4 linked regions of the Arabidopsis thaliana genome follow. The protein of the gene in region 1 purifies or fractionates together with the protein of each later gene. This does not show direct contact. Each region holds a gene or a part of one and is shown in the gene's direction. Other genes may lie near its edges. The genes, in order: AT4G37880, AT1G61150, AT4G09310 and AT4G09200.

Region 1 (5,855 bases):
ATATACGTATACTTATTTTATTTTTTAATATTCACACTATATTATTATATGTATCAGTATGAATCAGGAAAAGAATACTACAAGGAACGTTACGAACATGATGATTGTTATTTCACAATTACAAGAACCTTCGTCACGTGTTGTTTTGGAAGTTATTGTTTATGTTCATCATTAGATTGTAATTAGTTTATGTATAATTAGATACTCCAGCTTTCTGAATCCAAAAGTGAAGGAGAATATTTTTATCAGAAAGACTCTGCAATTTGCATGCTAGCATGGGCGCAGGATAATGAAGACAACAATATATACAAAAGTTTAATAAAACATTTTTAAAAAGAGGTTTTCTAATAAAATGTGGCAATAATCGACGGTTTGGATATTATTTTAGTAGAAATCTTGTCATATAATTAATTTTGTATTAAAGCTAATATGAAAAAGGTGCAAGTCATAAAGCACCACGTACTCTCGTGCACAAAGTCTCACGGGATTTGCATTCTGATCACAAAGATGTGTTTACTACAACTCATTTTATGACCATAATTCTTGTTAATGCCTAAAAATTAATCCGATCCAACTTTAATAGTCTGGACCCAATCGGCCGATGGACTTTAATTACTATTGGTTTTATGAGTTTTGAAAATTCAAAAAGAATATAGAAAAGGTTAAGCAAACTTAAAGTCTTTCGCTGAATTGTAGCTTTTTAGGAATAAGAGTCTTTTTGTTATAAGAAAAAAAGTCTTCCGTTGGCACATATATTATCGCGATGGAGAGAGATCACGACTCACGCGAGAGACCCCCGTGAAAGTTTCATGACAATTTTTTTGGTTGTCGGTCTCGGCCGTGACCGATTAGATGTTCACATCAATGACCCACGTTCCAAAAAAGATGAATTAATTTGCATTTATAAATTCTAATCTATCATCGTTTCAACCATTTTTATATTCAGACCATACGGTAAACCATTTTAGACAACACCATTAGTCATATAGTTAAATAACGAGTAGGGCTACAAAAAAGAGAGTTGAATAGTTGTTCATTGAAGATCTTCTCGAATCTTGACATAGGTACTACTTGATAATGGAATCCAACGCTGTAGATTAACCATGTGCAAGGGAGTGGTTAATTAGTACTATTATATGTATGTACTCTCAATTTCTTTCACTTTTGAATGTTCATTGGTTCTTTCTCTTATTGATTATTTACATTCCCATTATAGATTCCAGTTTTGTCACCTTGTGGGGGAGGCCGATTCACTCTTCTCCTCTTCCCTTTTCTTGGATATCTCAATTCACAGTCCGCAAAAAGAGTTTCTACTGATGTCATAATTTAAACGCGTTATTTTCTCCTATATATTCGTTTTGGTGGGTTTCTCGTATTTTAACAACTATTGAAACAAATAAAATGAATCACACGAAAAAACACACTATAGAGTCTATATCTTCGATAACATATAACATACATGATTTGATGAAAGCAAACTGAGAAAACGTTTTTTTTTTTTTTTTTTTTTCTGTTTTGGTCAAAGAAGATGTTTTTATTTTATTTTATCAAATTATTATATAGTTTTAACTATATTTTTCATACGAGGACAGATTTTTTTTTGCATGTTTGATATCTTAATTTTTTGAAAAGTTTTGTGGTTTCTAGTACCCATAGTTTTCTATTTAAAGTGGTTTCATAAAACATTAAAATTCTGGTTTCGATGTAGTTTTCTATACACACTTTAAAGTGTTAATAGCACTATTTATAGACAGAAACGAAAATTCAACACTAATTGATTATGAAATTTTGGAATTGAGTTCTCACGAGCTTGTGATTATCTGACTTGGACGTTTTTATAAACTATTGTCTTTTTTTGTATCTTAATTTTCGTGGCTTTATTCAAAAGTTAAAAAAAAAAAATTAAAATAATAATAATCAGAAATTGAAATTTTAAATTTACATTACGTGTAAGCAGAATTAACTTATAATTTTTCATAAAAGCAAACAAAATTTTAAAGACTAAATGTCAAATTCAGTTTATTTTCATAGTTTTAAAATTTAACACAAATGTTTTTAAAAATATAATTCACTATTGATTTAAGGTTATTCTTAAATAATGTACAATTAGAAACTTTAGTTACTTCATTAACGGTAAGAAAAAGTTGCCGTTACACTCGTTACAACAGTCATATTTTGTTTTTCACTGCGTAACAATTTATCAAAATGTAAACATAGAGAAGCGGTAGTTGGGCCTTTTTCTCTCCTTTCAAAATATATAATGGGCTTTTTAGTTCACGGAAGACCTAGAGCTTGGAATCGTCTGTAATATACTCCACACTAAAGTATATCTAACACTAAACAAATCCAACGGCTGAGAGTCTTTTATTCACTATAACACGTGATAGTTCTCCCTAACTCGTAAGGATAATAATCTGAAGGAGTGATGAGAAAATATTAACGAAAAACAAAAAAAAAAAGACAGAAGACAAAAAAAAATCACGAAATCTGATTTTCCTCTCTTTTGCTCGAAGCCAAGTCTCTGCTTTTACTTTGATCCACCAACTTCATCTTCAACCTCTCGATTTTAGGTACGTTTTTCCCTTTCTTTGTGTATCTTAGAAGTCTTTTGATTTTCACGCTGATTCATTTCTGGAAGTTTTTCGATTTGGTCTTCATAGATTCCTGAAATCGTTAGTTTGAAATTGATTGAGATCTTTGATTCTATATAGAAAATTTATCTGATCTGTTTATTCTGGAATCAATTTGTGATTAGAGGAAATTGTGTCCTCTGTTTTAAGTTTCTGATTTTGGATTTGAAGATCCGATTTTTGCATCTTGATGATTCATTTCAAAAAATGTCTAATTTTGGTATGATTTTTGCTTGTCTCAGGTAAGATTCTTAGAGTGATTTTGACTTATCTAAGAATGGAGCTAAAGAGCATTAAGGATGCGTTTGATCGTGTTGCGACGAAGCAGAAGCTCTCTTATAGCAAAACTAATGAGATTGTTCATATGTTGTCTCAAGAAATCGATAAGGCTTTGAGCATATTAGAGGAGACACCATCATCAGATACTATGCTTCTTGATCATAGATCTATCCTCGCTGATGTGAAGAAAGTGTTTATGGAGATTGCTCCAATCACTCAACTTGAAGCTACTGAGAAAGAGCTACATGCGGCTTTGACCAAGTACCCTAAAGTTCTTGAGAAACAGCTGAATCCAGACATATCAAAGGCTTATAGACACAATGTTGAGTTTGATACTCATATCGTTAACCAGATTATCGCCAACTTTTTCTACCGTCAAGGAATGTTTGACATTGGTGACTGTTTTGTTGCTGAAACTGGTGAATCTGAATGTTCTACAAGACAATCTTTCGTGGAGATGTATCGGATACTAGAAGCTATGAAGAGACGAGATCTTGAACCGGCTCTTAATTGGGCTGTTTCGAACTCTGACAAACTAAAGGAAGCAAGGTCTGATCTTGAGATGAAGCTTCATAGTCTACACTTTCTGGAAATAGCACGAGGCAAAAACTCCAAAGAAGCTATCGACTATGCGAGAAAGCATATCGCCACGTTTGCAGATAGCTGCCTCCCGGAGATCCAGAAGCTCATGTGTTCTCTCTTATGGAACAGAAAACTCGATAAATCACCATACTCCGAGTTTCTCTCCCCCGCTCTGTGGAACAATGCAGTCAAAGAGCTAACCCGACAGTACTGCAACCTACTCGGTGAATCATCTGAAAGCCCGTTGAGTATAACAGTAACAGCGGGCACACAAGCGTTACCAGTACTATTGAAATACATGAACGTGGTGATGGCGAATAAGAAGCTTGATTGGCAGACCATGGAACAACTTCCTGTTGATGCGCAACTATCCGAGGAGTTTCAGTTTCATTCGGTGTTTGTCTGTCCAGTCTCTAAAGAACAGTCAAGTGATGATAACCCTCCGATGATGATGTCTTGTGGACATGTGCTTTGCAAGCAGACGATCAACAAAATGTCAAAGAATGGCTCTAAGTCGTCGTTCAAGTGTCCTTATTGCCCAACCGATGTAGACATCTCAAGGTGTAGGCAGTTGCACTTTTGAAACGAAAGCTCGGGAATTTGTACGACCGATATAAACTGGAACTAAGTTCTGAATCGGTGAAATCTGTGTCAAAATTGTAACCTTGTGGTGTTCTCTGTTTCTTTTTTTCATGAAGTTTTTTAAGTGATGGGGCTTTGGTGTACAAATTGATCAGGGGAAGTTTTTAGATGATTGGACATCCCATAAGAATGTGTTTTTGGTGTTGTTGCTATTTGTTTGTTAAACCTTTTGAATATAGAAATTCTTTACACTGCAAATTTAGTTTAGATTAGCTGGAACCCTGGAAATTAAGCTCTCTTTTAGAATTACTGGTCACATGGAAATAAAACAAATTGATTTTTGCTGCGCTCATCTGTTAAATAGAGAATCATGTCTTAGTTAATCTAATTTTCGTACAATCATTGTTTGGATGGGTTAGACACATATAACGCTACAATAGAAGTAGTTCTTGAGTTAGAGAATTAGGCTCTTTCTTTATTATATGTGAGGCAAATGTTGGTTTATTGTGTTGTTCGTCTCTTCTTTGGTTAGCTTAGACACTTTGGCCTTTTCAAGACTCGTATTGGTTTCTTCTTTGATTAGCTTAGAGAATTTGGCTGTTTCAAGACTCGTTTTGGTTAGCTTAGAGAATTTGAATTCCTAAACAAGATTTATTGGGCTTAGACCCCAAAAGATGGGCTTAAGCTTGCACTTGTGTATATGTCGATTCATACGTGTGTCTCGTTCATGCGAGTCAGCTTGGTTTTGAATCCACGAATGACGAGACCTATTCTTCTCAAAAGAGTACACAAAATATATCCAAGTTTAAATATACCAAAAGGCAAAAGCAATGAACCACGTTCCACGTATCAAAATTTTCTACTTCAATTTGACCGATTGACTAGAGTGTATTGGTAGTTAATGGGGAACATAATGGGGAACACAATAGACGCACAAAAATTGGTAAATAAAAGAGAAAATGAAGAATCATCATGAGTTTTTATTCAATTCACAAAAGTACATGAGACAAAAACAAAGCTCAATTCCGCCGTAACAAACAAATAGCATTATTATGTTAGCCAGTTTTTTATTTTATTTTCTGGAGCTAGCACCCACCACTTAAAGAAGTTATTTTTTTTTTCTGGTAAACACCACTAATTTGTATTAAGTGTTTATGTACCTTTCTGTTTCTTTGTATCACATCATTGCAAAATTTAATAAAGTTTAATATGAATGAATGTTTACCCTTCTATATATATCATATATATATATATACTATGTTTACCAATTATAAAAAAAAAATGAAAATCTTGTGAGTTGTGAATATCATATACAAATTCAAAACTGTTACTTATATCCAAAACTAATATCCATAATTTGATTAAATAAAGAGAAACAAAATTCCATAAAAAAATTCATATACCATTGTATTTCTTTGTATCACACCATTACAAAACTTCGTAATAAAATAGAAACAACAAAACTAAAATCTAGCATTTTCGAATCCATGGAGGTCGCTGACTCTATTCATATGCTTCCTCATGATCGCCACTTTAGCCAATCTCTCAGCCGCTCTCCACGCTGAAGTCGGTGTAAGCGGCTCACTCTTCTGAACCACCGGCTCTGGACTCTTCACCGCCACGTGTCTACCTCTCAAACGGTTCAAATCTGCCAGCTCAGCTTCCAAACCACGTAAGCACGAATCACTTGAGCTCAAACCGTATTGCACCAACAAGGCTCTAGCTGATGTCAGCATTCGCTCAGCCCCCGAGTAATCATTGACTTCCACTAACCGCCGAGAC
Region 2 (6,655 bases), on another chromosome or scaffold:
TTAGAGATTAGTGTAGCTACAGAATTGTGAAATCACACATACATAAACTTTATAACAAAATACAAATCCAAACATCTTTGTAGCAGCATTCAAATAATGCAATGAAATTCAGCTAAATCAAAACGATGAAATTGAAGTTAGAGAAGCGTGTAATCAAAATTCTCAAGCTACCACAAAAGCCGAGAAAACTACCTCAGCAGAATCAGGCTTCTCATCTAGAATCCGATAAAGCGTTTCGATGTCAATAGTCTCGTCATCATCTTCAAACTCAAAACCACCATCACAATCATCAACCGGAAATTCACCTCCCAGACCAAACATTGAACCTTCCTCACCCATCAAAAATCACAAAAAAAAAAAAAAAAAACTAACCCGAGAAAGAACGAGAAGAGGAACAAACCCTAAATCAGAAAACCCAAAAGTCACGGAATTTCAGCTCCCGGGAAACCCAAATCGAAATTCAGAAGTAGACGCGTAGATCCAGAGATTGTAGAATTTTCAGGTACGACGAAGAAGAAGGCTTGAGAATTGGGTTTTGAAGGAATTTTCGAGGAAAGGTAGAGAGCAGTTGGGATAGAGAAAATAAAAATCGCGACTTTTTGTAGCGACGGTGGCTTCTTTTTATTGCCTTGTTCTCTCTTTTGGCTTTCTCCGAATTGGAAAAAGTAAACACCACAAGGCTATGGGACTTCCGGCTTTAAATAAGGAACGGTCGAACATTTGTTTTTCTTTTTCTTTCATTTTTTTCCATTTTTTCATTATTTAATAATGCATGATTATATATAATTATATTTTATGCGCCGTCATCTTTATTGTTAAAGCAAAATCACAATTTAAACAAAAGGAAACAACTTTAATTAGTAGTAGGAAACTGAAGTGTTTAAGTAATGGAGATTTTTTTGAAGTGTTTGCTAATCATAATTTATTGTAAAAATTATTTTTAATTGTGTGAAAATTAGATTTTCTACACTAACAAAAAAATTTCATATGTTAAAGAAAACAAATATGAAACTAAATCACAAAGATCAATTGGAATTAGACATGTGGATCGACTCATTAGAAAAATAATCATCTCAATCAATAAGAAGAGATAAAACATATATTTGACTAAATGATCTTACCAATCTTGTGGTCATAAAATTCTACAAAGCACTATATTGCTAATTTCTACAAAGCACATTTGTAATCTTCTGAATCATTTGTTAGCCCTAAAAGAAGACTAGTATTATACGAGATCACCATTTTTATGATTGATCAAATATCTTGTAGAGCGCAAAACTTTGTAGGTAGTTTGATGAGAAAGAGCTTGCTTATTATGTGATCAACAATTCCGTTCTTGCCATGTCTCAAAGTAGTTGCTTGCCATATTAATTGATATGAAGAGCCTTTGATTTTGCAGAGATAGGAATTGCCAAAAGAAACCATATGAGGATTGACTCGAGAAGTTTTAGTGTAACTTCTTCACTAAGTCCTTCCAAACCAGTTGGGAAAAATAATATTAAAGAATAAGTGGTCCATTGATTCTTAGTCGGTCAACTAGCTAGAAGACCTCAAATTCTGCAATCGATCCTTTGTCTTATTGTGGTTCCACACAAACAACCATGTGCAAAGAACAAAACATGTTTTGGGACTTTAGTTTGAAGATGCAATTAAACATATTGTTAGATTGTTGACCAAGAAAAAACATATTGTTGAGATTGAAAGATATATTTTGCATCGGACTGCAAAATGTTTATGTCACATATTTGTTACCTAATAGTTGATTTTAATAGAGTATAATAGAGTATCAGTTATTGGTTTTAAATTGTGTATCAAATTCCAAATAATATAGAGATTTTTAACATCAGTCTTATTTAATTATGATTTTAACCAAGTGTCGTTAGCTCAATTGGTAAAGACCTTATGCAAAGCTTAGAGGTCGCCGGTTCGAGTGACGCTTGGGACGAAACTAATATTTTATGCTGTGGTTTCAGGCCTGGGGGATTACGGACTTTGACCCACAACCTCCAAGATTTAAAAAAAAAAATAAAAAAAAATTATGATTTTAAATCGAAATTTTGTTCTTCAAAGGTAAAATAGTTTAAAAATCTTTGGGTATTAAAATCATTTGGAAATGAGTTACATAATACTATCCGGTATATAAAGAACCAAATCCAAAAACAAACCGGTTCCCTTAATAATTTAAACCGGATTATTCATCGACGGTTCGTCAACATCCTAATAATTTAAACCCGATCTCTTCTTCTCTATCGAAAACCTCCAACTTTTTTTTGTTTTATCAGATTGTAAATTTAGGGAAGAGACTTTCGCAAGCAATCTAGAAGCAAATCGATCGCCAAATCTCCGGATTATTTGCAAGAATCGTTCCCAGATAATCTTCCCCAGATTCTCCACTTCTCCAGGTACATCGTTATATTCAATTTTTGAGGAAAATAGTCGCACACTCTCTCTTTCTTAGAACTACCACTCCTGTGCTGTTTTGAGATTAAAGCTTGAATTTTGACTAAAGCCCTAAATTACTTTGTATCACTATCTGATCACAAAGTCAATTTCTTTTGGAAATAGCTCTGATCGGAGTGTTGCTCGAACAGGTATTAATTTCGTATTGAGTGGATTAGATTAGATTTCAAGATATGAGAGCCTCACTGGCGTTCTAATGTCACTGTTTCGTATTTTTATCAATCAGCTTGAAGAAGACGACGAAGATATGGTAATTTTGACTCCTCTTATGAGTCTGTTCTTTGTGTTATTTGATACAACTTGATGATGGGTTTTTGGAAAACTTTAATCTTTATGCACGTTGTGTGACCTAGTTTTAATCGTGGCTTGTCGCAGGCTACTTCGAAGAAAATGATCACACGTGAAGAATGGGAGAAGAAACTAAATGCTGTGAAGCTTAGGAAAGAAGATATGAATACTTTGGTGATGAATTTTCTTGTGACTGAAGGATATGTTGAAGCTGCTGAGAAATTCCAAAGGGAGTCTGGAACCAAACGTATCCTTTTTCTGATTCTGGTTTTGAGTTTTTGTTTATGGAATTGGTGTGTTTGATGTTTAGCTTATCTACTCCTTTTGAACTTCCTTATCGAGAAACAGCAGAGATAGATCTTGCGACCATTACTGATCGAATGGCTGTTAAAAAGGCTGTTCAAAACGGAAATGTCGAGGATGCGATTGAAAAAGTTAATGATTTGAATCCTGAGGTACAATGCTTCTTCATATCTTGTGTGGAGAGTAGTCATTCACTTTTCTGATGTAATAAAGAAGCAAAATCTGATTCTTCTTTGAACCCATGCTTGCAGATACTAGACACGAATCCGGAGCTCTTTTTTCATCTTCAGCAGCAAAGGTTGATAGAATTAATTCGACAAGGGAAGACAGAAGAGGCCTTAGAGTTTGCTCAGGAGGAACTTGCACCACGTGGCGAAGAAAACGTAAGTCTTTGTATTTCACTTTGATTTCTGTCGTTAAAGATGGTGTTTTCCATGTGTATTGCTCATTGACTGTGTGTAATATCTGTTGTTGCTGAAACTTCATTCATACAGTCTGTTATATCTCTCTGCAGCAAGCGTTTCTGGAAGAATTGGAAAAAACTGTAGCCCTACTTGTTTTTGACGATGCCTCTACCTGCCCGGTTAAAGAGCTTCTTGATCTTTCCCACCGTCTTAAGACAGCAAGTGAAGTAAATGCAGCGATTCTTACAAGCCAGAGCCACGAAAAAGGTAGCTTTTGAATTTTGATGTTATACTGGTTGTCTTTTAGTAGCCACAAAATACCATTATAATCTCGAGCATCATTCATTATCAATCTTAAGATTCAAAGTATATGCAACTCTTCTCTACATAACAAGTAAAATTTTTCATTCATTACTTCACCCACAACATGTATCATCCAAGTTCTTCTTGAAACTTTCCATTTTCCTCCATGGTTAATGTAGCAACTCAATGTTTGTGAACAAACAGATCCTAAACTTCCAAGCTTGTTGAAGATGTTGATTTGGGCTCAAACTCAACTGGACGAGAAAGCAGTGTATCCGCACATTAATGATTTGTCTACCGGTAAGCTCGAAGACCCGTCAGAATGATTCCGTACTTCTTTCAGCCATTGGAAATCAGTAGCAAAAAGGAACAATGAATGGTGCTCTCTTCTCTTCCCGTCAATCTCAATAACTTACAATTCATATGCTTTCTGCTTTTCCTTTTCTTCTGCATCGGGATTTGTTGGACCCGCAATCGTTAGGATATGGGGAGGGGAACATAAGCTTTTGTAGGCAATGAATTACTCTAGTCAAATGTTCTTATTATCAACATATTTGATGACTCATTGCATACGTGCATTTGATTTGAATGAAGTTATCGACTTTGTTTGGATCTTTGTGTTTGTTTTGAGGAATATTTTTGTTCCAAAAGGTTCGAATTGTAAACAAGAGAGATGGCTTATTCATCCCATGTATAGTTACATGAATCAATGAATCAACTTGGCACGGTTCCTACTTACCTAGAAAGCAACATGACCTATTGAATTGAGTGCTGTTACCGTCGAAATGGAGAATCTCTGCGAACCGTACTGAAACATCATTTGATTTTTCTTCTTCTTCGCAAAATATTATTTTGGTACTGACACAGCTTTGAATCTTGCATGACATGGTACGAAGTAAATAAAGGGAAGTAGTAATAGCAACTTTTTGATATATAAAATAGGAAACATAATCCACAAGACTCAAGACCTTATGTTGACTCTAGCCATCTCAATCTTGCATGATATGGTCTTCCGGATCATAGGATTTGGAGGGTTTGCTCTCCACCTCATCTTCGGATGCGGGTCGGCCCAAATTGCTTTGTCCGCAGTCAACATCTGCAAACTCCTCAGACACGAGCGGCACCTTTTCCTTGATGCTTCTAAGTTTGGCCTCTACCTTCTCAGCTTCATCAACTACATCTGACACATAATTAAGGATCCATCCGCAGTTCGCTGCACATACCCCTTCCTGCAACTCCTCGCGTAGCCCTTCCTGGAACAGACACGCCAGCTGCTCTTCCTCCAACTCTCTTCCGAGGTTCTTGACCTTCTTAAGGAACTCGTTATAATACTCACGCACTGTCTCTGTTCCTTGCTTCACCTCAAAGGCTTCCCAGCTCAAGGCAATGTTGACGTCAACCAGCTTAGACTCATCGAAGGCTCCGCGCTCAGAAGCTTCTCGGGGTGGCTGATCCTCCTCCCCAACTACCCCTGTGAGCTCAAAGTTTTTTGGTTCACCAGATGTCTTGATCGACCTGGTCTGCCTGCGGGTCAATAATTCATCGAGTTTTATACATTTAATAATTTGTTACAAAATATGAAAACAAGGATAGTTTTCAGTTAGAAAAACAATTTATTATCTTAGAAAATCATGACTATGCTAAATCTAATATATTTAAATAAAAAACTTTACATCAAAATTCTAACAAATTATCAAATATTATGGATTTGAGGGAGTATAAATTATCATTATAATTCAACAAAATTAAAACTGAATTTTGCGAAAACATAATTTATATGAAACTCGAGTATAAAAATGATGACTCGAAATGGATCAAATAGAATAAAGCAATCGTAATGTCGAATAGTGGAAAAGAGATTTATATCTTATTTTATTTTGTCTGAAAAAGATCTATCTTCACCTATTTTTATTGAACTTTAAATATTTTAAGCAAAAATAAAATTGATTCAATTTGATATAAAATGAGCAAAGACCTTTTGATCATGATCCTTTACAAGATTTTCATTTCATGCTTTATCATTACAGAAAAAAAAAATCTAACAAACTAATCTGAAAGCTAAAAGATTGAAAATAATATAGTTTCTTAATATATTTTATCAAAATCATTAATAGATATTGTGAAATAGATAATAGAAAATTGAGAATATCTAAGGAACTTACAAATTGATATTACTTCTTCCATTAGTCATTGTGGAGAATGAAGAAATAAAAAAAATGGGAAATGAAGCTCTTAAAGTGAGTCTAACCAAATGATGTACTTTTATTAACTCCCAAAATGGGATATCATTGATTTATGTTCTATAAATAAAAAATTAACCTGATTCATTTTTCTTATATAATAATTGATTAAGACATACGCTGGCAAAATTTTTTTTTTTTATGTCCGCTCGCAAATCAAAAAAATATGGAAATACAATAAATTTTAATTATAATAAATTAGCTTTTATTTTCTTTTCATAATTTCTAATAAATATCTCATATACCCAATTTACAGTATCGTATTTTGTATTAAATAAGTTTGAGTTAAAATTGAATCATTATGAAAATCTAATTAGAATATATATATATATATATATATATATATATATATATGTGTGTGTGTGTGTATGTATAGTACTGGTACATAATATTAATGTTTTGTAACAATTTCGGTTTCTAGTTTCTAAAATATGGTAAATTATCAAAATCGATTAATTATGATATTTTCACAATTATATTTTTCTAATATTGTAAATTTGTTCCCAAATTTTTTTTTTTTTAAAGTCCCAAAGATAGAAAGTTATTATTATAATTCCAAATTTAAAATAAATTTTAAATTTAATATGGAGATTGACTCTTGTAGTCTTTTGACTTGTTCATTAATATGTTCCCGAAATAGTTTTATATGGTATACAA
Region 3 (6,409 bases), about 12 Mb from region 1:
ATGTTGATCGAGTTGATCCGTGAGAAGAAGACCGAGGAGGCTGTTGCGTTTGCACAGGAAAAACTCGCGCCACTAGCTGAGGAGAATGTGAGTCTTTAGCAGATTCATCTTATAATAGGAGATTGGAACTGGTCATAAACAAATTCTGCAATCTTATGCAGGAGGCCTTACAAAGAGAACTGGAAAAAACAGTGTGTATACTCGTTACTGAAGGTCTCCCTAACTGCCCGTCCAGGGAGCTTTTCCACAACTCGCAGTGGATTAGGACTGCTAGCCACGTAAACGAAGCAATCCATACAAGCCAGACTGGAGAAAAAGGTATATGGCTATACTTTTTACTGACACAGAAAGTGAAAAATAATGAGCTTATCTACCAAAAAACAGAACCAGTTGTTTATGATGGCCAAAAGTGTCATAATTACAGTCCCTAGTTGCTCTCATGTGTCTTTCAGATTTCCAGCTCTTGAAACTTTGTCAATGTACCAAGTGAGATGATGATGATGTTATGTTTTGTGAATTGTCAACAGGTCCTGAATTGGAGCGCTTGTTGAAGGAGCTGATTTGGACTCAGAATCAACTGGATGAAAAAACAGTCTATGTGTATCCACGCATGAATGATTTTTCCACTGGCCAGCTCATATACCGACCAGAATGATTCTTCTTCCCTTTCAACAACTAACGGCTCTGCAAAAGGGAACATATATAGTGATATATAACTGATCTGTCGCAAGAACATGATGACCATTTCTTCCTAGTGAGTATTTTGAGTGAGGGGGGAGTTTTTAGCCTTGCTCTTATGATTTAGGGATTTTCTTATTCATGACAATATTGGACCCCTAGGTAGTACTAATAACAAGAGAGGGTTTTTGTTTTCAAATGTTGGTTTACTGGTTAGGCTTTTATTCTCCACCATGGTATGGTTCCTATAAAGCTACATAAGAATTCATTTTGAAGTTTGTTTGGTGTGTGACCGAAGAACCAAAAAAAAAAAAACAGTTGCTCATTCTTTGTCTACTTATCTCACTATTCGGCAATGCATATACGTCCTAATCTTTGTTTTGCTTATCTTAGTTATTCTATCTCTCTCCCTTACCTAAAAAGCTGGCTTCAAAGGACTTGACGGATCGTTTATAAAACAGACTAGTCATAAACATAGATTTATATTCGAGATGGCTTCAAATACGAATCTTAAACTGTTTATAGTATATATAGTATCTAATAGCTGCGGGTGTTGTGAAAGGGAACTTAGTGTTGACCATGGTCATGGAGTTTAACCAAGAAGTTTGTTGAACCAAGGATTCACACAATAGATTTGTTTAGAGAGGGAAAACAAATCTAGTAATTTCTCTTCATTAGGTATTCTATCCAAGACTCGATTACAAGAGGGGTTCTAATCTCTTATGAAATACATTAGGGTTTTGCTCAAGAACAGAAAAAGAATTAAAGTTTTAAAAAGGTATAGCTGCATCCATGATGGATTGCCTACGTACCCTGTGAAGGGATCAAGCCATTCGTAGTTCTCAATAGGTATAAAGTTCTATGTTTCTTGTGAATATCCCAAGATCTCCCCCTTTTTGTGAAGTCCCTAAGGCACTTTATATAGGATCCTTAAACCGCCTCCCTAGCGATATTCTTCGGAAGATTCTTATTTATCCTTAGGTCGGTTCTAGAGGATAATCGTCCTAAGGATATTCTCCTTATTCTTCGGAGGTTTTGGGGAGATTTCCTGATTTCGACATTATCTTCAAAGATTCTCCTTTATCATTTCTGAAAGTCCCATAAAAGATCCCATTTTACCGGAAATGATCCTTGGAGAATGAATGGTTTTTACAAGTCTTTGCCTCGCGTGTTCTTCACGGCTCGGTGGTCGTTTGAGAGGTGGCTTCGGGGCAAACGGTATGTACCGGCTCGGGGCGCGCTTGATGACTGTCCATTAAGCTCAGTTGGCTGTCTCCCGAGCCGATATAGATGTGTCCCGCAGCGTTCTCACGATTGGCTCGGGCTGTGTTCATATGATTAACACCCGAGCCATTTTACAAACTCTCTTCGGGACGGTCGATCGAATAAGGTCCCGAGGTGCTTTGTTCTAGGCTAGGGGCCAATCATATGTTTAACCATGAGGTGATTGTTATTCTTAGACTGTTTGGCTCGGTCTTGCTTGTGGGGGAATCCGACCCCAACGAAGTTGTACCTTGACGGAAGAGAGCACGAATGGGATCGGTGCGGGTGTCTGGAAAGTGCCTGAAGAAGGTTCATGTGATGATCAAACTCTGGAATGCTACTGGGAGTACTGACTGTACCAAAACCTCCTCCAACAGTGCCACAGGGAACAAGCAAGCCCCATATCAATGTGTGATGAAGTTGAAGGAGCAGGGTCGTAAGGTGGACTTCCACAGTTAGAAGGAGGCTTGTGTGATGGAGGAGCTCCATATCCTTCGTCATAGTACTGATTTCCGGATCTGAATAAAGAAGCATGGCATCATTTGGAAGTAAGAGATCACATGAGAATACCATCCCTAGAACCGAGAGAGAAAAGTTTATGTTAATAAATTTTTATTGTATAATTGATATTGAAAAACATTAATAAACAGTGTTCACATAAGGTGTAAATTCACCCCAAAAGCACTCTAAAAAGTAAAAACCAAAAGAGAAAAAAACATAGAAATGGTTACTTAATAATATACCGAGTTTCATCTATTTACTTAATAATATACGGTTATTTGATTTACCGGTTAACTAAAAAATATCTGGTTTAATCGTATTTATTGTTGGCAAACACAACATTGGGCGCGAAGTGGTTTTTGATGCCCTTCAACAACATTTGGGGGTTTCATTTCAATCGCATTTCTAGGGTTTCTTTCTCTACGATTCAATAGATTCGGACGAATTGGGGGATTCTGACCAGAGAGAAGCTATGGAGGAAAACGAAGAGGAAGAAGAATTGCGGCCAACGGCGCTATACACGGTCGGTGGTTCAGACGAATTTACCTTTGTTTCTCCCGATGGGCTCTCCGGTCAATACACGGGCCCTGATCACGACGGCGTAGTTCTTCAGACTGAAAATCCGGCGCCGACTAACTGTCTTGCTTACTACTTCGAGGTTCATATCATGAATGCTGGTGAAAAAGGAGAGATCGCGATTGGTTTCTCCAAGGAACACATCTATAGCGAAGGGTATCGTTTTCTTTCCCTTTCAATTCGCATTTACCACTTATTGCGTGATTTGATACTCAATACAATCATTGATTCTGTTTGATTTGGTACCTGAGACTGAGAGAACAAATTGGGAAATAGGTTTAGATACAATGGTAGATCAGTAGTTCAAATCACTGTTTCAATGGTTTGGATTCGTTACTTGGAAATAGGTTATGTGATTTGCTGCTCAATTTGATTGTGTTGGCTGTTAGATCTGGTATCTTACAAGTTAATGGGAGATTTGCTTTGTTAGATGTTTTCACCTTTCAGTAATTAAGCATTCCAATTCACTGTTTCATGTTTCTCTGTAATGTTAGATATACTGTCAGAAGCTGTGCCTACATTGGTAACAGTGGACTCATATGCTCTCAAAATGGAGATGGTGATCGAACTGTTGCTAAAGCCAGTGACACCTATACAACAGGTGATTTAGTTGGTTGCGGTATAGACTCGGTTTCACAAGAATTCTTTTTCACGTAAGTAATAACTGTTTCCCTATCTGAACATGTTTCATTACAATTGGAAAAGTAGATATCAAGATACACAATTCATTTCTTCATGTCACAATGTTTTTGACATGTCCCTGCGTATGTTTTACTTGCTGACATCTATGACTACTTCTTTGATTATAGGAAAAATGGAACTATCGTAGGGACAATCCCCAGGCAATTTAGGCGTCCTGTATACCCGACAATTGTTTTGCATAGCCAAAACGAAGCTGTCACTGTCAATTTCGGCGGACAGATTGCGTTTTCTTTTGACTTTGAGGTAAGGTCGTACTTTTCTTTTCTTGCATAGTCGGAGAATAACTATTGAGTAAGCAGAATAATATGCATCTCTCACATATGTCCATATTTGCATGTATGTGGCATATTTTTCTGATACAATATTCTATTATCTGATCCACCTTTATTTCAGCATTTTGAAGAATCATTGAGGGTTAAAAAAGAAAGGGAAATTGAAAAGATTTCCATGTCTCGCAGCATTAGTCATGGGTAAAGTGTCTTTTCCTGCCTGTTCTTAATTGTAATTCTTGTTTCTGTTTGTGCTAAAGCTTCCTTTTTCCAGGCTTGTAAAAACCTACCTTCTTCGTTATGGATATGAAGATAGCTTTAGAGCTTTTAACCTGGCTGCAAGTCGTCATACTGTTATTGCACAAGAAAATAGTTTTGATGAGTATGAATTGCATCAAAGGAAAAAGCTCAGAGAGGTACTTTTCACTGCTATGGTTATCTTGCTGTAATTTTTTTTTTATTTTTTTTCTGTGAGGTACAAAATCAACCAAAAGCAAGCTACATTGCTACATCTTTTCTGTTTCATATCGAACTGATCCATGCATTCTGTTTGTTAAAGCTTATAATGACTGCTGAGATTGATGATGCTATTGCTGCACTCAAGGATAGATATCCCCAACTTATTGAGGTGGGCTGAGTAACTAGTTAATATATCGAGTGATTCACATTGTTAACATTCCTTGAACTATTTTAACAAGCTGCTTGTATCATATGCAGGGTGGATCAGAAGCTTATTTTCTTCTTATCTGTCAAAAGATTGTCGAATTAGTACGGGTATGTTCTTTATTCCTTGTATATTTGTTACACATATCCATGGTGTGTTTCTCTAACTAACTACAATGCAGAAAGGAGCAATAGCAGAGGCTAAGTCATTTGGAAATCAAGATTTTAAAGACTTTAGGGATTCAAGCCTACTAAAAAACCTTTTCGATGTATGTAGTGATTCTCTAACTGTTAGATTAGGTTTCTCATATTTGAGTCACTAATAGTTTTGTTTTTCTCTATTTCAGGATTGCTCTGCTTTGTTCGAGTGTGAAACTATAGAAGAATCAGGTGCTGCATATCTTCTAGGAGAAACACAGAAGAACATAGTAGCAGCTGCAGTCAGTGAAGCGATTCTATCTACAAATCCGGCCACCAGAGACCAGCAATCTGCTTCACTTGAGCGAGTGCTTAGACAGTTTGAAGCCACCTGCTCACTCTATGCTCGTGAATAAAATCTTGACTTTTTCTGTTTTTCTTTTTATCTTTTCTCTTGATAGAGTCATTGTGTAAGCTCAAATGTTCTAAAACTAGCGATCATACTTTAACTTGATTCACAACTATATACGAGATTATATTGGAGCTTGAAAATTTTTATTTACAAGTATTTATCTACAAATCGGCAAATATTGAGCTGCTCATACTAATTTTGATAATTTAATCGGCTACAAATTTTAATGACATGTTGTTGTTAGCTGTAAGTTAAAATATGAAATCGAAAGTCTTTTGTTTATTGCTTTCAACTTAAGCCTTTGTGATTACAAGCTATGTCTATTTATACATCTAGATTGATTTAACCTAGTGTCTTCTTGATTTGCATAGCTGTCACTTGGCTGTTATGTGGCGTCGTTGTCTTCACATGATTCAAGAGCCTCATAGCGATTCCTCGTCGTTACTTCCGTACTGCGTGGAGATAAGGACCGCTCTGCAACTTTTCTGCTTTTGTCCTTTGTTGTTGCAGGTTGTCGTTGCACTATGTTGGGCTTGGCTCTTGGATTGGGCACTTGTTTCGGATTGGGCTTTAATGGTTTTGAGCCCAATTCCAAAACTGTGTCGTTTGGAGCTGTTCTGTTGATACTCCCCCTCAAACTTGGAGGAGGTGGGAAATCGACACCAAGTTTGAATCGGAGAGATTCGAAAGGAGCCTTGGCGAGAGACTTTGTAAATATGTCAGCGAGCTGTAGATAACCCGGGATATGATGGACGATGAGCTCACCAAAAGCTACCTGCTCTCGGACATAATGATAGTGAGTTGCAAAATGCTTTGTCCGAGCATGAAACGATGGATTCGCTGTAAGGTAAACGGCAGAGAGGTTGTCGCAGAAGAGTTCGGGGAGCTATAACTGCGGAACACCCAAATCACGAAGTAAATTGACTAGCCATGTGATTTTCGAGGCTGTATCGGACATAGAGCGATATTCAGCTTCGGTTGAGCTTTTGGCGACTGAGACTTGCTTTCGAGAAGACCAGGAGATTAAATTGTTGGCAAGAAATGTACAGAAGCCACCGGTGGAGCGACGTGTACCATGACAACCGGCGTGATCACTGACACTGTAAGCTCGGAGTTGACAATCTGTGTCCTTGTTGAATGAAATTCCCATGGTTGTTGTTCCTCTGATGTATAGGAGAATCCTTTTGAGGAGAAGAAAATCCGACAT
Region 4 (5,976 bases), about 12 Mb from region 1:
TGGTTAGGCTTTTATTCTCCACCATGGTATGGTTCCTATAAAGCTACATAAGAATTCATTTTGAAGTTTGTTTGGTGTGTGACCGAAGAACCAAAAAAAAAAAAACAGTTGCTCATTCTTTGTCTACTTATCTCACTATTCGGCAATGCATATACGTCCTAATCTTTGTTTTGCTTATCTTAGTTATTCTATCTCTCTCCCTTACCTAAAAAGCTGGCTTCAAAGGACTTGACGGATCGTTTATAAAACAGACTAGTCATAAACATAGATTTATATTCGAGATGGCTTCAAATACGAATCTTAAACTGTTTATAGTATATATAGTATCTAATAGCTGCGGGTGTTGTGAAAGGGAACTTAGTGTTGACCATGGTCATGGAGTTTAACCAAGAAGTTTGTTGAACCAAGGATTCACACAATAGATTTGTTTAGAGAGGGAAAACAAATCTAGTAATTTCTCTTCATTAGGTATTCTATCCAAGACTCGATTATAAGAGGGGTTCTAATCTCTTATGAAATACATTAGGGTTTTGCTCAAGAACAGAAAAAGAATTAGAGTTTTAAAAAGGTATAGCTGCATCCATGATGGATTGCCTACGTACCCTGTGAAGGGATCAAGCCATTCGTAGTTTTCAATAGGTATAAAGTTCTATGTTTCTTGTGAATATCCCAAGATCTCCCCCTTTTTGTGAAGTCCCTAAGGCACTTTATATAGGATCCTTAAACCGCCTCCCTAGCGATATTCTTCGGAAGATTCTTATTTATCCTTAGGTCGGTTCTAGAGGATAATCGTCCTAAGGATATTCTCCTTATTCTTCGGAGGTTTTGGGGAGATTTCCTGATTTCGACATTATCTTCAAAGATTCTCCTTTATCATTTCTGAAAGTCCCATAAAAGATCCCATTTTACCGGAAATGATCCTTGGAGAATGAATGGTTTTTACAAGTCTTTGCCTCGCGTGTTCTTCACGGCTCGGTGGTCGTTTGAGAGGTGGCTTCGGGGCAAACGGTATGTACCGGCTCGGGGCGCGCTTGATGACTGTCCATTAAGCTCAGTTGGCTGTCTCCCGAGCCGATATAGATGTTTCCCGCAGCGTTCTCACGATTGGTTCGGGCTGTGTTCATATGATTAACACCCGAGCCATTTTACAAACTCTCTTCGGGACGGTCGATCGAATAAGGTCCCGAGGTGCTTTGTTCTAGGCTAGGGGCCAATCATATGTTTAACCATGAGGTGATTGTTATTCTTAGACTGTTTGGCTCGGTCTTGCTTGTGGGGGAATCCGACCCCAACAAAGTTGTACCTTGACGGAAGAGAGCACGAATGGGATCGGTGCGGGTGTCTGGAAAGTGCCTGAAGAAGGTTCATGTGATGATCAAACTCTGGAATGCTACTGGGAGTACTGACTGTACCAAAACCTCCTCCAACAGTGCCACAGGGAACAAGCAAGCCCCATATCAATGTGTGATGAAGTTGAAGGAGCAGGGTCGTAAGGTGGACTTCCACAGTTAGAAGGAGGCTTGTGTGATGGAGGAGCTCCATATCCTTCGTCATAGTACTGATTTCCGGATCTGAATAAAGAAGCATGGCATCATTTGGAAGTAAGAGATCACATGAGAATACCATCCCTAGAACCGAGAGAGAAAAGTTTATGTTAATAAATTTTTATTGTATAATTGATATTGAAAAACATTAATAAACAGTGTTCACATAAGGTGTAAATTCACCCCAAAAGCACTCTAAAAAGTAAAAACCAAAAGAGAAAAAAACATAGAAATGGTTACTTAATAATATACCGAGTTTCATCTATTTACTTAATAATATACGGTTATTTGATTTACCGGTTAACTAAAAAATATCTGGTTTAATCGTATTTATTGTTGGCAAACACAACATTGGGCGCGAAGTGGTTTTTGATGCCCTTCAACAACATTTGGGGGTTTCATTTCAATCGCATTTCTAGGGTTTCTTTCTCTACGATTCAATAGATTCGGACGAATTGGGGGATTCTGACCAGAGAGAAGCTATGGAGGAAAACGAAGAGGAAGAAGAATTGCGGCCAACGGCGCTATACACGGTCGGTGGTTCAGACGAATTTACCTTTGTTTCTCCCGATGGGCTCTCCGGTCAATACACGGGCCCTGATCACGACGGCGTAGTTCTTCAGACTGAAAATCCGGCGCCGACTAACTGTCTTGCTTACTACTTCGAGGTTCATATCATGAATGCTGGTGAAAAAGGAGAGATCGCGATTGGTTTCTCCAAGGAACACATCTATAGCGAAGGGTATCGTTTTCTTTCCCTTTCAATTCGCATTTACCACTTATTGCGTGATTTGATACTCAATACAATCATTGATTCTGTTTGATTTGGTACCTGAGACTGAGAGAACAAATTGGGAAATAGGTTTAGATACAATGGTAGATCAGTAGTTCAAATCACTGTTTCAATGGTTTGGATTCGTTACTTGGAAATAGGTTATGTGATTTGCTGCTCAATTTGATTGTGTTGGCTGTTAGATCTGGTATCTTACAAGTTAATGGGAGATTTGCTTTGTTAGATGTTTTCACCTTTCAGTAATTAAGCATTCCAATTCACTGTTTCATGTTTCTCTGTAATGTTAGATATACTGTCAGAAGCTGTGCCTACATTGGTAACAGTGGACTCATATGCTCTCAAAATGGAGATGGTGATCGAACTGTTGCTAAAGCCAGTGACACCTATACAACAGGTGATTTAGTTGGTTGCGGTATAGACTCGGTTTCACAAGAATTCTTTTTCACGTAAGTAATAACTGTTTCCCTATCTGAACATGTTTCATTACAATTGGAAAAGTAGATATCAAGATACACAATTCATTTCTTCATGTCACAATGTTTTTGACATGTCCCTGCGTATGTTTTACTTGCTGACATCTATGACTACTTCTTTGATTATAGGAAAAATGGAACTATCGTAGGGACAATCCCCAGGCAATTTAGGCGTCCTGTATACCCGACAATTGTTTTGCATAGCCAAAACGAAGCTGTCACTGTCAATTTCGGCGGACAGATTGCGTTTTCTTTTGACTTTGAGGTAAGGTCGTACTTTTCTTTTCTTGCATAGTCGGAGAATAACTATTGAGTAAGCAGAATAATATGCATCTCTCACATATGTCCATATTTGCATGTATGTGGCATATTTTTCTGATACAATATTCTATTATCTGATCCACCTTTATTTCAGCATTTTGAAGAATCATTGAGGGTTAAAAAAGAAAGGGAAATTGAAAAGATTTCCATGTCTCGCAGCATTAGTCATGGGTAAAGTGTCTTTTCCTGCCTGTTCTTAATTGTAATTCTTGTTTCTGTTTGTGCTAAAGCTTCCTTTTTCCAGGCTTGTAAAAACCTACCTTCTTCGTTATGGATATGAAGATAGCTTTAGAGCTTTTAACCTGGCTGCAAGTCGTCATACTGTTATTGCACAAGAAAATAGTTTTGATGAGTATGAATTGCATCAAAGGAAAAAGCTCAGAGAGGTACTTTTCACTGCTATGGTTATCTTGCTGTAATTTTTTTTTTATTTTTTTTCTGTGAGGTACAAAATCAACCAAAAGCAAGCTACATTGCTACATCTTTTCTGTTTCATATCGAACTGATCCATGCATTCTGTTTGTTAAAGCTTATAATGACTGCTGAGATTGATGATGCTATTGCTGCACTCAAGGATAGATATCCCCAACTTATTGAGGTGGGCTGAGTAACTAGTTAATATATCGAGTGATTCACATTGTTAACATTCCTTGAACTATTTTAACAAGCTGCTTGTATCATATGCAGGGTGGATCAGAAGCTTATTTTCTTCTTATCTGTCAAAAGATTGTCGAATTAGTACGGGTATGTTCTTTATTCCTTGTATATTTGTTACACATATCCATGGTGTGTTTCTCTAACTAACTACAATGCAGAAAGGAGCAATAGCAGAGGCTAAGTCATTTGGAAATCAAGATTTTAAAGACTTTAGGGATTCAAGCCTACTAAAAAACCTTTTCGATGTATGTAGTGATTCTCTAACTGTTAGATTAGGTTTCTCATATTTGAGTCACTAATAGTTTTGTTTTTCTCTATTTCAGGATTGCTCTGCTTTGTTCGAGTGTGAAACTATAGAAGAATCAGGTGCTGCATATCTTCTAGGAGAAACACAGAAGAACATAGTAGCAGCTGCAGTCAGTGAAGCGATTCTATCTACAAATCCGGCCACCAGAGACCAGCAATCTGCTTCACTTGAGCGAGTGCTTAGACAGTTTGAAGCCACCTGCTCACTCTATGCTCGTGAATAAAATCTTGACTTTTTCTGTTTTTCTTTTTATCTTTTCTCTTGATAGAGTCATTGTGTAAGCTCAAATGTTCTAAAACTAGCGATCATACTTTAACTTGATTCACAACTATATACGAGATTATATTGGAGCTTGAAAATTTTTATTTACAAGTATTTATCTACAAATCGGCAAATATTGAGCTGCTCATACTAATTTTGATAATTTAATCGGCTACAAATTTTAATGACATGTTGTTGTTAGCTGTAAGTTAAAATATGAAATCGAAAGTCTTTTGTTTATTGCTTTCAACTTAAGCCTTTGTGATTACAAGCTATGTCTATTTATACATCTAGATTGATTTAACCTAGTGTCTTCTTGATTTGCATAGCTGTCACTTGGCTGTTATGTGGCGTCGTTGTCTTCACATGATTCAAGAGCCTCATAGCGATTCCTCGTCGTTACTTCCGTACTGCGTGGAGATAAGGACCGCTCTGCAACTTTTCTGCTTTTGTCCTTTGTTGTTGCAGGTTGTCGTTGCACTATGTTGGGCTTGGCTCTTGGATTGGGCACTTGTTTCGGATTGGGCTTTAATGGTTTTGAGCCCAATTCCAAAACTGTGTCGTTTGGAGCTGTTCTGTTGATACTCCCCCTCAAACTTGGAGGAGGTGGGAAATCGACACCAAGTTTGAATCGGAGAGATTCGAAAGGAGCCTTAACGAGAGACTTTGTAAATATGTCAGCGAGCTGTAGATAACCCGGGATATGATGGACGATGAGCTCACCAAAAGCTACCTGCTCTCGGACATAATGATAGTGAGTTGCAAAATGCTTTGTCCGAGCATGAAACGATGGATTCGCTGTAAGGTAAACGGCAGAGAGGTTGTCGCAGAAGAGTTCGGGGAGCTGTAACTGCGGAACACCCAGATCACGAAGTAAATTGACTAGCCATGTGATTTCCGAGGCTGTATCGGACATAGAGCGATATTCAGCTTCGGTTGAGCTTTTGGCGACTGAGACTTGCTTTCGAGAAGACCAGGAGATTAGATTGTTGACAAGAAATGTACAGAAGCCACCGGTGGAGCGACGTGTACCATGACAACCGGCGTGATCACTGTCACTGTAAGCTCGCAGTTGACAATCTGTGTCCTTGTTGAATGAAATTCCCATGGTTGTTGTTCCTCTGATGTACCGGAGAATCCTTTTGAGGAGAAGAAAATCCGACACTGTAGGGGCGTGCATCTTTTGGCACACGTAATTAACAGAGAATTGGAGGTCCGGTCTAGTAAGTGTGAGGTAGTGCAGCTTACCAGCCAAACTTCTGAAATATGATGGATTGTCGAAGGGCTCGGTTTGATTAGGTGCTCTCTCAGGTTGAAGTGGCAATGGTGTTGCAACAGGAGAACAGTTGGATATTGCAGTTGTAGCTAGAAGATCTTCTGCATATTTCTGTTGAGAGAGAAAAAGACCTTTTGGATGAAATTGCGCCTGAATACCAAGAAAATAACTGAGTCTGCCCAAATCTTTCATCTTGAACTGCTTATTGAGCTCATTAAGAAGACTGGAGAGAAGTTTTGAGCTATTTCCTGTGATGACCATATCATCAACGTATAGAAGAAGCATGATCACATCCTTGTTCTTTACGTAGACAAAGAGAGAAGGGTCAGACATACTGCAGGTAA

What was found.
Region 2: the proteins of AT4G37880 (region 1) and AT1G61150 fractionate together in Arabidopsis thaliana (co-fractionation; one large-scale study listed by BioGRID). This does not show direct contact.
Region 3: the proteins of AT4G37880 (region 1) and AT4G09310 fractionate together in Arabidopsis thaliana (co-fractionation; one large-scale study listed by BioGRID). This does not show direct contact.
Region 4: the proteins of AT4G37880 (region 1) and AT4G09200 fractionate together in Arabidopsis thaliana (co-fractionation; one large-scale study listed by BioGRID). This does not show direct contact.

Annotation. Positions count from the first base shown.
Region 1 is NC_003075.7:17,807,276-17,813,130, forward strand, and holds AT4G37880 (LisH/CRA/RING-U-box domains-containing protein), read left to right. Parts: upstream 1-2,361; 5' UTR 2,362-2,570; intron 2,571-2,872; 5' UTR 2,873-2,907; coding exon 2,908-4,074; 3' UTR 4,075-4,384; downstream 4,385-5,855. Other genes in the region: EDA40 (Zinc finger (C3HC4-type RING finger) family protein), read right to left, coding at 5,537-5,855.
Region 2 is NC_003070.9:22,540,272-22,546,926, forward strand, and holds AT1G61150 (LisH and RanBPM domains containing protein), read left to right. Parts: upstream 1-2,225; 5' UTR 2,226-2,402; exon of another isoform or gene 2,403-2,591; 5' UTR 2,592-2,656; coding exon 2,657-2,710; intron 2,711-2,835; coding exon 2,836-2,995; exon of another isoform or gene 2,996-3,032; coding exon of another isoform or gene 3,033-3,096; coding exon 3,097-3,203; intron 3,204-3,302; coding exon 3,303-3,434; intron 3,435-3,565; coding exon 3,566-3,722; intron 3,723-3,962; coding exon 3,963-4,084; 3' UTR 4,085-4,747; coding exon of another isoform or gene 4,748-5,282; 3' UTR 5,283-5,390; downstream 5,391-6,655. Other genes in the region: EDA16 (SNF2 domain-containing protein / helicase domain-containing protein / zinc finger protein-like protein), read right to left, coding at 193-339; AT1G61160 (retrotransposon gag), read right to left, coding at 4,748-5,282, 5,921-5,949.
Region 3 is NC_003075.7:5,900,035-5,906,443, forward strand, and holds AT4G09310 (SPla/RYanodine receptor (SPRY) domain-containing protein), read left to right. Parts: upstream 1-2,778; 5' UTR 2,779-2,914; coding exon 2,915-3,174; intron 3,175-3,512; coding exon 3,513-3,671; intron 3,672-3,827; coding exon 3,828-3,963; intron 3,964-4,113; coding exon 4,114-4,190; intron 4,191-4,263; coding exon 4,264-4,405; intron 4,406-4,548; coding exon 4,549-4,617; intron 4,618-4,706; coding exon 4,707-4,763; intron 4,764-4,834; coding exon 4,835-4,921; intron 4,922-4,999; coding exon 5,000-5,206; 3' UTR 5,207-5,415; downstream 5,416-6,409. Other genes in the region: AT4G09300 (LisH and RanBPM domains containing protein), read left to right, coding at 1-87, 162-318, 528-655.
Region 4 is NC_003075.7:5,857,354-5,863,329, forward strand, and holds AT4G09200 (SPla/RYanodine receptor (SPRY) domain-containing protein), read left to right. Parts: upstream 1-1,890; 5' UTR 1,891-2,026; coding exon 2,027-2,286; intron 2,287-2,624; coding exon 2,625-2,783; intron 2,784-2,939; coding exon 2,940-3,075; intron 3,076-3,225; coding exon 3,226-3,302; intron 3,303-3,375; coding exon 3,376-3,517; intron 3,518-3,660; coding exon 3,661-3,729; intron 3,730-3,818; coding exon 3,819-3,875; intron 3,876-3,946; coding exon 3,947-4,033; intron 4,034-4,111; coding exon 4,112-4,318; 3' UTR 4,319-4,527; downstream 4,528-5,976.